Linked DNA regions of Arabidopsis thaliana. The protein of the gene in region 2 interacts with the protein of the main gene of each other region in a pairwise test. Each region holds a gene or a part of one and is shown on either strand. Other genes may lie near its edges.

Region 1 (5,582 bases), 2.6 Mb from region 2:
TGCTAGATTAAAAGCCATCTCAGCTAATCCAAAAGACCGACTTACGGCCAGGAATTTCTGGTGAAATAACTTTTGTATTTGCTCGAATGTTTCGCTATTGAGACTATACTAAAAGAGAGGATAAAGAAATCATTTATCTTTGTCAGGAAACTAGCTGCTCAGCTAGTGGATCCTTCACGCCCTGGAGATTTCAACCAATCTCTGATGGAGCTTGGTGCTACACTATGCACTGTATCAAAGCCAAGTTGCTCTTCTTGTCCTGTTTCCAGCCAATGTCGTGCATTTTCACTTTCCGAGGAAAACAGAACGATTTCCGTGACAGATTATCCTACAAAAGTAATCAAGGCCAAGCCAAGGCACGACTTTTGTTGCGTTTGTGTTTTGGAGATACATAATCTGGAGAGGAACCAATCAGGAGGTAGATTTGTTCTTGTAAAAAGACCCGAACAAGGTCTGCTTGCTGGTCTTTGGGAGTTCCCATCTGTTATATTAAATGAGGAAGCTGATTCGGCAACAAGGAGGAACGCAATAAACGTCTACCTTAAGGAAGCATTTCGTTTTCATGTAGAACTCAAGAAAGCATGCACTATAGTTTCAAGAGAAGAACTCGGAGAATTCGTCCACATATTCACTCACATTCGTCGAAAAGTTTATGTGGAGCTATTAGTTGTACAACTTACAGGTTTGACCACTATCTATCTCTTTCTTTCTAGGTCTCTTTTTTACATATAGTTAGAGAAACTAACAAGAAGTTACAGGCGGAACCGAAGATCTGTTCAAAGGTCAGGCAAAGGACACTCTAACATGGAAGTGTGTGAGCAGTGATGTTCTTTCTACCTTGGGACTGACATCAGCTGTTAGAAAGGTACCTCCTTTTCGTCTTCAACATATTAAAAGACTATCCTTGGATGTGATGGTTGAGAAGGAACAAATTTTGGAGTGCAGGTGTATTCAATGGTTGAAGCACACAAGCAAGGCTTATCTGTTTCTCATGTCTCATCAAATAGAACAGCCATATCGAGGAAACGAAAATTCTCATGATCTCCTTCTCACACTTTTCTTCATGTTGCTTAGCTTCTATAGTTCTTGTCTAGCATTGGGAATCAAATTTGGTGATCTTGGTTTGAAATTGAACAGCTTAGTTTCTACTGAGAAAAGTGACGGTGATGTGTGATCCCTCCAGAGTCCAGGGGTTGATTATGTATTTTGGGCTAACAAATATTAAAAAAATGGATTGTTAAGGCCCAACTTAAGCCCAGAAATAAATTCAGTCAGTGGATTCATATAATCGCGTGGACTCTTTCTTCCAAATGATTTACATAAAGAGTCAAAAGTCCTTGAACTTCACGTACGAAGACTTGTCAAAAGGCATAATTAAAACGGACAACGAAACTATTCACTTATTAAGCTTGGCCGCCAAGTTATAATGTCACTTTCCAAAAAAGAGACGTGTACAAAGAAGATTCAGTGACTTTCTTCACCATCCCCTTATATATACATTATCTGACATGTATAGTAAGCTCAAATTAACTTAAGAACTCACACTTAAGTTTTAAACCTCCAAGGATGTCTCTCTTCACGCTCTTCTTCGCTTGCTTTGTTCCAAAATCTGGTTCAAGGATTAACACAACCGACAGTAATTTGGAAGTCTTGTCTTTGAAGAAACCCAAAAGAAAAACCGAGTCCATAAGAACTCCTACTATCGTCGTCTCTTATTTTCCCGTAGGCTCCAACCTTTCTCGTCTATAGGAACTAGGAAGTAGGAAGGATAAAAGTGAAATTCTGTAGTTATGATCACAACCAAGAAAATATATGAGGCTGATACTATTGATCCAGTCCAATCTTGTTTATCTATGTAATAGACCAATGAAAGATTCTGCTTGTGGTCGACACTTTTTTGTAATGATGATTTTGTTTTGGGTAAGTTTATGTATATACAGTGGCACAGAGACAGAATAACTATTTATTGATATAAATATTATTTTTTAGTCAAAACTTTCTTACTTAATTGAAAATGAAATAAAATATTTAGCAGCAAATTATATCTTATAAACTCACATGCTTACTCATATCTTGTAATCGTTTTATCATTTGCTTCGTTTTATGCAGTGTTAATAACATTTGCAACGGCAAATCGTCTTTTGAGTAAAACATGTATTGATTCTAACGATTATAGTACAAACAGAAAATATGTTTACTCAATTGCTATATCAGGGTCAGTTGCGGAGTGGTTTGTTTAAAAACCACTCTACCACTATAAATATTTGTAAAATGATGTCATTAATTTTTTTTATAATTATGCTTTACAAGCTTTAGTTTTGGACCGGCCTGACTTTAGGCCAAGATTCAAATTAATAGAAAACCTCGCACTTAAGTTTTACAACTCCAAACATGTCTCTCTTCACACCCTTCTTGGCTTGCTTTGTCCAAAAATCTGATTCACGGGTTAACACAACCGACGCTAACTTGAAAATCTTGCCTTTCAAGAAACCGAAAAGCAAAACCAAGTCTCCAAGAGCTCCCACGATCGTCGTCTCTTACTTTCCAATAGGATCCAACCTTTCCCGTTTATAGAAATACGAAGATGAAAGTTAAATTTTGTAGGTATTTAAATTATACCTAAAATTGGTAAAAATAAAAATATACTATACTGTTACAGTTAAATTTTGGTCATGTCTACGTATGTACCTAGAGCCGAATAAAATATTGAACCGGGCCTTAATATTTCCTAAACACTAATGTGTTTCTCTCGTCGACACTTACTTTCAAATGTGACCCAGACTCAAGCTATGTAGAGCCCACTTACCTGCTGCTGCGCTGGAAATATGCGAGACAGCTTTGTTCATATAATCTATTTTATATATCTTTCATTATTATAAGACTCCTCTCCAAATGCTACCACACAATTCCTCTATCAAAGCCGCCCAATCCTCCACCCAAAAATGGCTTATCTCCGGCGAGCAGCCACCGCATTGGTTCTCATTTTCCAGCTCCATCTCTTTCTCTCTCTCTCAAATGCACATAACATAACCCGAATCTTGGCCAAAGACCCTGATTTCTCCACTTTCAACCACTATCTCTCAGCGACTCATCTCGCCGACGAGATCAACCGCCGGCAAACAATCACCGTCTTGGCCGTCGATAACTCAGCAATGTCCTCCATCCTCTCTAACGGATACTCACTCTACCAAATCCGCAACATTCTCTCTCTCCACGTCCTGGTCGATTACTTCGGCACCAAGAAACTTCACCAGATCACCGACGGCTCCACCTCCACTGCCTCCATGTTTCAATCCACCGGATCCGCCACCGGAACTTCTGGATACATCAACATCACCGATATAAAAGGCGGTAAAGTCGCTTTTGGTGTCCAAGACGACGATAGCAAGCTCACAGCTCACTACGTCAAATCCGTCTTTGAAAAGCCTTACAACATCTCTGTTCTTCACATCAGCCAAGTCTTAACCTCGCCGGAAGCAGAAGCTCCCACGGCGAGTCCCAGCGACCTCATCCTCACCACAATCCTCGAAAAACAAGGGTGCAAAGCTTTCTCCGACATCTTGAAGTCAACCGGCGCCGACAAAACGTTCCAAGATACCGTAGACGGAGGCTTAACGGTGTTCTGTCCCTCCGACAGCGCTGTCGGTAAGTTCATGCCGAAATTCAAATCCCTTTCTCCGGCGAACAAGACTGCGTTAGTGCTTTACCACGGCATGCCGGTTTACCAGTCGTTACAAATGCTTAGATCAGGTAACGGCGCCGTTAACACGTTAGCGACGGAAGGTAACAACAAGTTTGATTTCACCGTTCAAAATGACGGAGAAGACGTGACGCTGGAGACGGACGTTGTGACGGCGAAGGTAATGGGGACGTTAAAGGATCAAGAGCCATTGATAGTTTACAAGATCGATAAAGTGTTGTTGCCTAGAGAAATCTACAAGGCCGTTAAGACGTCCGCTCCAGCTCCTAAGTCGAGTAAGAAAAAGCCTAAGAACGCGGAGGCTGACGCCGACGGACCTAGCGCCGATGCTCCGTCAGATGATGATGTTGAGGTGGCTGACGATAAAAACGGCGCCGTATCAGCGATGATTACTCGAACAAGTAATGTCGTAACGGCCATTGTCGGGCTCTGTTTCGGAGTTTGGCTTATGTGAAGTGACGTGGCATTTACCTCGCTTTGGGAATCTTGTTTTCCTTTTTCTTTGTGATCTGTCGGTTTAATTTATTTTACATATTCTTTTTTTTGTTCACGTTGATACTTGGTGTGGAGATTTGGAATAATTAATTGTTCCACTTGTGTTGGATCTGATATGTTTTATTCTAAAAAAATGTGATGATCATTCAAAAGAGTGATTGGTACGTTGGAATCACGTGTATCTATAAAGATAGTGTCGGTGGTAGTCGAAATAGTGTGAGGCTGTGAGCTGTAAGATGCATGTTACATCCTTTGTGGTCGCTTGGATTTGACCCATGATGATGCTCCATCGTAACTACACTAATATGAAATATAGTATACTTTCAATTACAGAGGAAATCAGAATAGGGACAAAGATTATAATACGAGATAAAATGAGTGTTAGTTCAAACTTCCGATTATAATGTCGTAATATCTTTTAACCATATGTGTTGCATTGCACATAGTAATAAGGGCTTTAAGAGGGATTAAATGTTTTTCTATCTCTAGGTTGGGCATCTCCAACAAAAATTGTATTATCAGCTCCTACCTAATGTGGTGATATTCTTATTAGATATACTAGATCTTTCTTGTTCCATCAATCCATAATTAATAGTGTTTTGGACATGTAAGTTTAGTTAATCTCTAATCCGGTTTACAAATTGCGGTTTAGGTGTAATTAAAAAAAACAATCATGATTTAACTTATTAAATAAAAATCGGATGTATTTAAGAAATTTAGTGTGAGATAAAAATTGATTTTGTTAGTACCTACTTGTAAGAAATGTAATTATTTTATAACAAATGTAATTATTTTGAAGGATACTAAAATAGACATTTTATTGCTTTAAGTAATGTGCAAAACTTCAAAACATTTAATGCCACAACTATTGAACGAAGCTTTATTCACCCTTCTATTCACCTCCTTTTGCATTAACCAATAAAAACATGTCATGTCAAATCTTACTTAAATTACATAATAAATTAAAGCTATAATTATAAATCTAAACCGATATATAATCTCGTTTAATTACAAAATCTAAACCCTAATTCTCCTTTGTAAACCCAAACCTTCATTTAAACTCATTTAATCGTAAGAAAAAACTAAACCCTAATCGTATTTTCAAAACCCAAACCGACATTTAACCTCGTTTAATTGTAAAATCTAAATCTGTTTATAAACCTAAACCAATATTTAATTGGTTAATTGTAAAATCTAAACCCTAATCGTACTTTCTAAACCCAAACCGATATTTAACCTCGTTTAATCATAAAATCTAAACCCTAACCTTTTCTAATAAATCCAAACCGATACATAATTTCGTTTTAGTGGCAAATTAGATTTTATAATAAAATTAAATTCTTTTTATTATTGTTAAATGTCAGATTTTAATTGATTAAAATAGAAG
Region 2 (5,436 bases):
GCAGAAGAAAGTCTGAATGAATATTGCCTACACATAATTTCCTCCTAGACTTAACTCATCTCTTGGTCAACAATAGAGGCATCTTTGCATGTAGAAAGACTACAGATACTAAATTCATGGAAAGAGAAGAGATATGGTTGGCATTTACTGAATGTGGGGCCAAGAACAAAGAAAACTTAGACGGTGACCGATTCCTAATCCCAGAATATATAACTTAGCATATCTCACCCATATCAAAGGAGCAATCACTTGGTAGCATTATCAACCAAGAGAATTGATAATAAGATACGTTAGTTCCTCCTTGTCCATCTCCAAGGTGGTGATTCCACATCCACCATGACGGCGGATCAAGAACTACAAATCATTGGTGAGTAAGCATAAACCAGTTTGTGGTGAACGTCCTATTCTTTCATCTTCAAAAAAAAAAAAGATGGTTATGATATTTTATAATTCAATATATGAAACGATCGACAACAAATAAACTAATTTTTGCGTTATTTTCACTCACTTACCAGTTCGGCAGGGAAAAGAACCAAATCCAACAGTTCAAGATGAAAGAAATTCAGTCAGTAGCAGCCAAGCAGAAGTATCTCACTCTAACACATACAAACGGTGGCTCAGGGTGACTTTATATACATTCTTTGTCATTTCAGGCCAAACAGTTGCTACAATTTTGGGCAGAGTATACTATGACAACGGAGGAAACAGTAAATGGCTAGCAACGGTAGTTCAACTTGTTGGCTTTCCTGTGCTACTTCCATATTATATCTTGTCATTTAAAACACATGCAACAACTGATAGAGATGGAAAAAGAACCTCACCTAGGAACCGTGTATTGGTTTACGTAGTGCTTGGACTTCTTGTAGGAGCAGATTGCTATCTGTACTCCATTGGACTTCTTTACTTACCCGTTTCTACCTATTCCCTGATCTGTGCATCTCAGTTAGCCTTCAATGCTTTCTTCTCTTATTTTCTTAACTCACAAAAACTTACCCCTATCATTTTAAATTCTCTTTTCCTCCTAACTATATCTTCCACCCTACTTGCATTCAATAATGAGGAGACAGACTCCACAAAAGTTACAAAAGGAGAGTATGTCAAAGGTTTCATATGCACCGTTGCTGCGTCTGCTGGTTATGGTCTAGTCTTATCCCTACAACAGCTAGCCTTTCTAAAAGTCCTAAAGAAGCAAAATTTCTCAGAAGTTATGGATATGATAATCTACGTGAGTCTAGTGGCCAGTTGTGTTAGCGTGGTGGGGCTTTTTGCTAGCAGTGAGTGGAAAACTTTGAGCAGTGAAATGGATAACTACAAACATGGGAAGGTATCCTACATTATGAACCTAGTGTGGACAGCTGTTACCTGGCAGGTATTCTCCATCGGTGGCACAGGACTGATCTTCGAGCTCTCCTCTCTATTCTCAAATGCAATAAGCGTTTTGGGACTCCCAGTGGTTCCTATCTTGGCTGTAATCATTTTCCATGACAAAATGAATGGGTTAAAGGTGATTTCTATGATCCTAGCTATTTGGGGTTTCACTTCCTATGTCTACCAACAATATCTTGATGACAAAAACTTGAAGAAAAATCATGAAATCACAACAACAGAATCCCCTGACCCACCAGAAGCAGAAGAGTCAACTTGGCAATCAAAATAAGCTGATATTTTGAAAGATGCTGTCCCGCAGTTTACAGACTCAATCAATCTAGTTAAGTAAACTTACTTTACTTATCGGCCTGGAGGCATCCTACATTGAAGAATACACAATACATTTTTGATGCAACTAATGTAAAGTCTCAGCTTGAAATTTTTTGCATCATTGTAACAGGAAGTAGATTTCATTTAAATAAGTAGTGAATGACTTTGGTTTAGTTTCAATTACGATTACCCAAATTACATTGTAATCTCAGTGAACCAACAATCTTAAGTTTAGAACAGCTGATTACAAAAGTTCATCGTTTAAACTTGGGTTCATAGCAGCTAAAGATTAAATGTAACTCAACCCTGTATGTAACAAGAACCTGTAGGCAGATTGATAAAAGTAGATATTTATTTAATAAAAAACCATGTCAATTTTGTGAGTGTGACACCTGATAAAAATTAACCCTTAGCCATAACTTAAAAAGATTTCAATGCACTATTCCACTTTCTAGTTTTACCTGAAACATTGTGAAACAAGGACACACAGAAAATCATTTCTAATGAAGAAAGAAGAAATATTAATCAGACAGGTCCAAACATCCTTGGTGAAACAGAGCTTTGTACAAAAAGTAAATGACCAGAAATAATACCATTTGGCAGTCTCCATCTTAGCAGTTAATAAAGTGACTTCCTCTGCCATCCAATATTGTGGTGCAAATGTCTTCTTTTGAAAAGAGAAGCGAGACATCATCTCCATAAATGTGTTTCTAATCCACATGCCTGATCTCATAAGAGAAAGATAGTCAGACGGAACAAGCCAAAGAAATTAAAGAAGACGAATAACTTTCAAAATAGACATCCTGACGGTCATACAATCTTACAACTTGTGTGCATGCGTGTTAAGTTTGTGTCTATGCATATGGCTGATGTGTCACACAGGTATAAAATACTGAGTGACTAATGGCTACACATCATTTCCTTCTTGATTTGACTCGACTCATCTCTAGATCAACAATAGTGACAAAAGAAATTAAATTCACAGCAAGAGAAGATATACAGTTGGCATTTACTGAATGTGGGGACAAGTACAATCAAAACATAGACGATGACCGATTCCTAATCTCTAAATATATAGCTACAGCGTGTCTCACCCATATCACAGAAGCAATCACTTGGTAGCACTAGTAACCAAGCAATTTGATAATAAGATACCTAATACTTAGAATCTATTCAGAACATTGTTAGTACCTCCTTGTCCATCTCGAAGGAGGGGGATTCCACATCTACTATGAAGGGGGATCAAGAAGTACAAGTCATTGGTGAGTAAGCATAAACCAGTTCCTCGAGAACCTACTGGTCTTTTATCTTCAAATAAAAGACGAAAAATATGGTTATGGTATCTTATTATTCAATATATCAATATTTTTCATGTGTGACAACAAATAAGTCATAATCTAATTTCTTGCGTTATTTTCCATCACTCACCAGTTCAGCAGGGAAAAGAACCAATTCCAACAGATCAAGACGAAAGAAGTTCGGTCAGTGGCAGCCAAACAAAACTATCTCACTCTAATACATACAAACGGTGGCTCCGGGTTGCTATCTATACATTCTTTGTCATTTCAGGCCAATCAGTTGCTACAATTCTGGGCAGACTATACTATGAAAATGGAGGAAACAGCAAATGGCTAGCAACGGTAGTTCAGCTTGTAGGCTTTCCTATTCTACTTCCATATCATCTCTTGTCAGTCAAAACACATACAACAACTCAGAGAGATGGCAAATTAACCTCACTTAGGAACCGTGCATTAGTTTACATAGTGCTTGGACTTCTTGTAGGAGCAGCTTGCTACCTATATTCCATTGGACTGCTTTACCTACCTGTTTCTACCCTTTCCCTGATCTGTGCATCACAGTTAGCCTTCACCGCTTTCTTCTCTTATTTACTCAACTCACAAAAACTTACTCCTATCATTTTGAATTCTCTTTTCCTCCTCACTATATCTTCCACCCTCCTTGCATTTAATAACGAGGAATCAGATTCCAAAAAAGTTACAAAAGGAGAGTATGTCAAAGGTTTCGTATGCACCGTTGGTGCATCTGCTGGGTTTGGTCTACTCTTATCCCTACAACAGCTAGCCTTTCGTAAAGTTTTAAAGAAGCAAACTTTCTCAGAAGTTATAAATATGATAATCTACATGAGTCTAGTGGCCAGTTGTGTTAGCGTGGTGGGGCTTTTTGCTAGTAGCGAGTGGAAAACTTTGAGCAGTGAAATGGAAAACTACAAACTTGGGAAGGTATCCTATGTCATGAACCTAGTGTGGACAGCTGTTACCTGGCAGGTATTCTCCATCGGTTGCACAGGACTGATCTTCGAGCTTTCCTCCCTATTCTCAAATGCAATAAGCGCTTTGGGACTCCCCGTGGTTCCTATCCTGGCTGTCATCATTTTCCATGACAAAATGAACGGCTTAAAGGTGATTTCTATGATTCTAGCTATTTGGGGTTTCGTATCCTATGTCTACCAACAATATCTTGATGAAACAAACTTGAAGAAAAGTAATGAAATACCAACAACAGAATCCCCTGACCGACCAGAAGCAGAAGGGTCAAGTGAGCAATCAAAATAAGCTGTTACTTCAAAGATTGTGGCACACACAGTTTACAGACTAAAGCGAGCTGATCAAGTAAACTTACTTTTCTTTATTGGTATGAAGGCAGCCTACAATGAAAAATAAACATAATAGATTTGTGATGCGACTCAAGTGAAGTCACAGCCTGAAAATGTGTGCATCATTGTAACATGAAGTATATTTTATTTAAATATATGTTGTGCACGATTCTGGTTTAGTTTGGAATAAGATGACCAAAATCACATTATAAGCTCACTGAAATAGCATTAAGTCATTAACAAAGTCAAAACAGCTGATTACAAAAATTCATTGTTTAAAACTCAATCCTGCATATAAAGAGAAGGTGTACACTATGTAGCTTTCTAAGTTTTTGTAATATATCTAGGTGTAAGTAGAGTTCCAATCAGCTTACATCAGGCACCCAACATAGTGAGCCCGAGGATACTTCTTATGCAGTTGTGGCCATTGAACAAAGAATTGATCAGCTATTCTCAACTTGTAAAGCAACAATCCACTTAATGAGAGCTTTTTCACTCTTGCTACACTCTCAACATAAAAGATTGATGACCATCTAATTCCCAGCACCTGTAACCCAAGATGAAACAAGCACTTATGGGAATTCTAGATGTAATGGAGAAACCATGACTAAGAATAAACAAAACACATCCTCTGTTTTTGGTCACAAGTCCATTCAAGGTCATCCAAAATGTAGAGGAAAGAACTGCAAAGAATCTTGATAAAATATTTCCGAAGTGTGTATACCTTGAATAAAAAGGCGATCACACACAGAGGAATACAGGTCCCAGGACCATTGCAAAGAATCTGAAAAACTTCAACCAAATCTAATCAATAACCTGATTCAAATGGTTTAATAAAGAACCCTTGAAGAAAGTCTAAAAAGCATTCAGATAAAAATCATACCACTTGTGGTCTGATCCGGATCATTAGCCACAGAGCGTGAAGAATAGCAACAATGGTAGTCCAAACAGAAGTCACATAAGACTGACCAACTTCACGACTCCGGTAAATTTGCATGAACTGTGATGATGCTTCCTTAACAGCAGGCTATGCCACAGTCATACCAAGCAAAAAACACACAAGAAATAAGTAATAAGCAATAGCAAAATTCAAAGAGGAGGGACAAAACTCAAACGAAATTGAA

Evidence for each region.
Region 1: the proteins of AT4G18220 (region 2) and FLA2 interact in a protein complementation assay, tested with the Arabidopsis thaliana proteins (one large-scale study listed by BioGRID).

Annotation. Positions count from the first base shown.
Region 1 is NC_003075.7:7,490,170-7,495,751, reverse strand, and holds FLA2 (FASCICLIN-like arabinogalactan 2), read left to right. Parts: upstream 1-2,671; 5' UTR 2,672-2,942; coding exon 2,943-4,154; 3' UTR 4,155-4,525; downstream 4,526-5,582. Other genes in the region: AT4G12740 (HhH-GPD base excision DNA repair family protein), read left to right, coding at 1-60, 147-682, 759-1,174; AT4G12735 (uncharacterized protein), read left to right, coding at 1,567-1,749; AT4G12731 (uncharacterized protein), read left to right, coding at 2,392-2,574. UniProt on the Arabidopsis thaliana protein: May be a cell surface adhesion protein.
Region 2 is NC_003075.7:10,075,839-10,081,274, forward strand, and holds AT4G18220 (Drug/metabolite transporter superfamily protein), read left to right. Parts: upstream 1-2,799; 5' UTR 2,800-2,889; coding exon of another isoform or gene 2,890-2,929; coding exon 2,930-2,960; coding exon of another isoform or gene 2,961-3,006; intron 3,007-3,129; coding exon 3,130-4,271; 3' UTR 4,272-4,524; downstream 4,525-5,436. Other genes in the region: PUP10 (purine permease 10), read left to right, coding at 337-367, 516-1,657; AT4G18230 (UDP-N-acetylglucosamine transferase subunit ALG14-like protein), read right to left, coding at 4,683-4,859, 5,037-5,096, 5,196-5,339.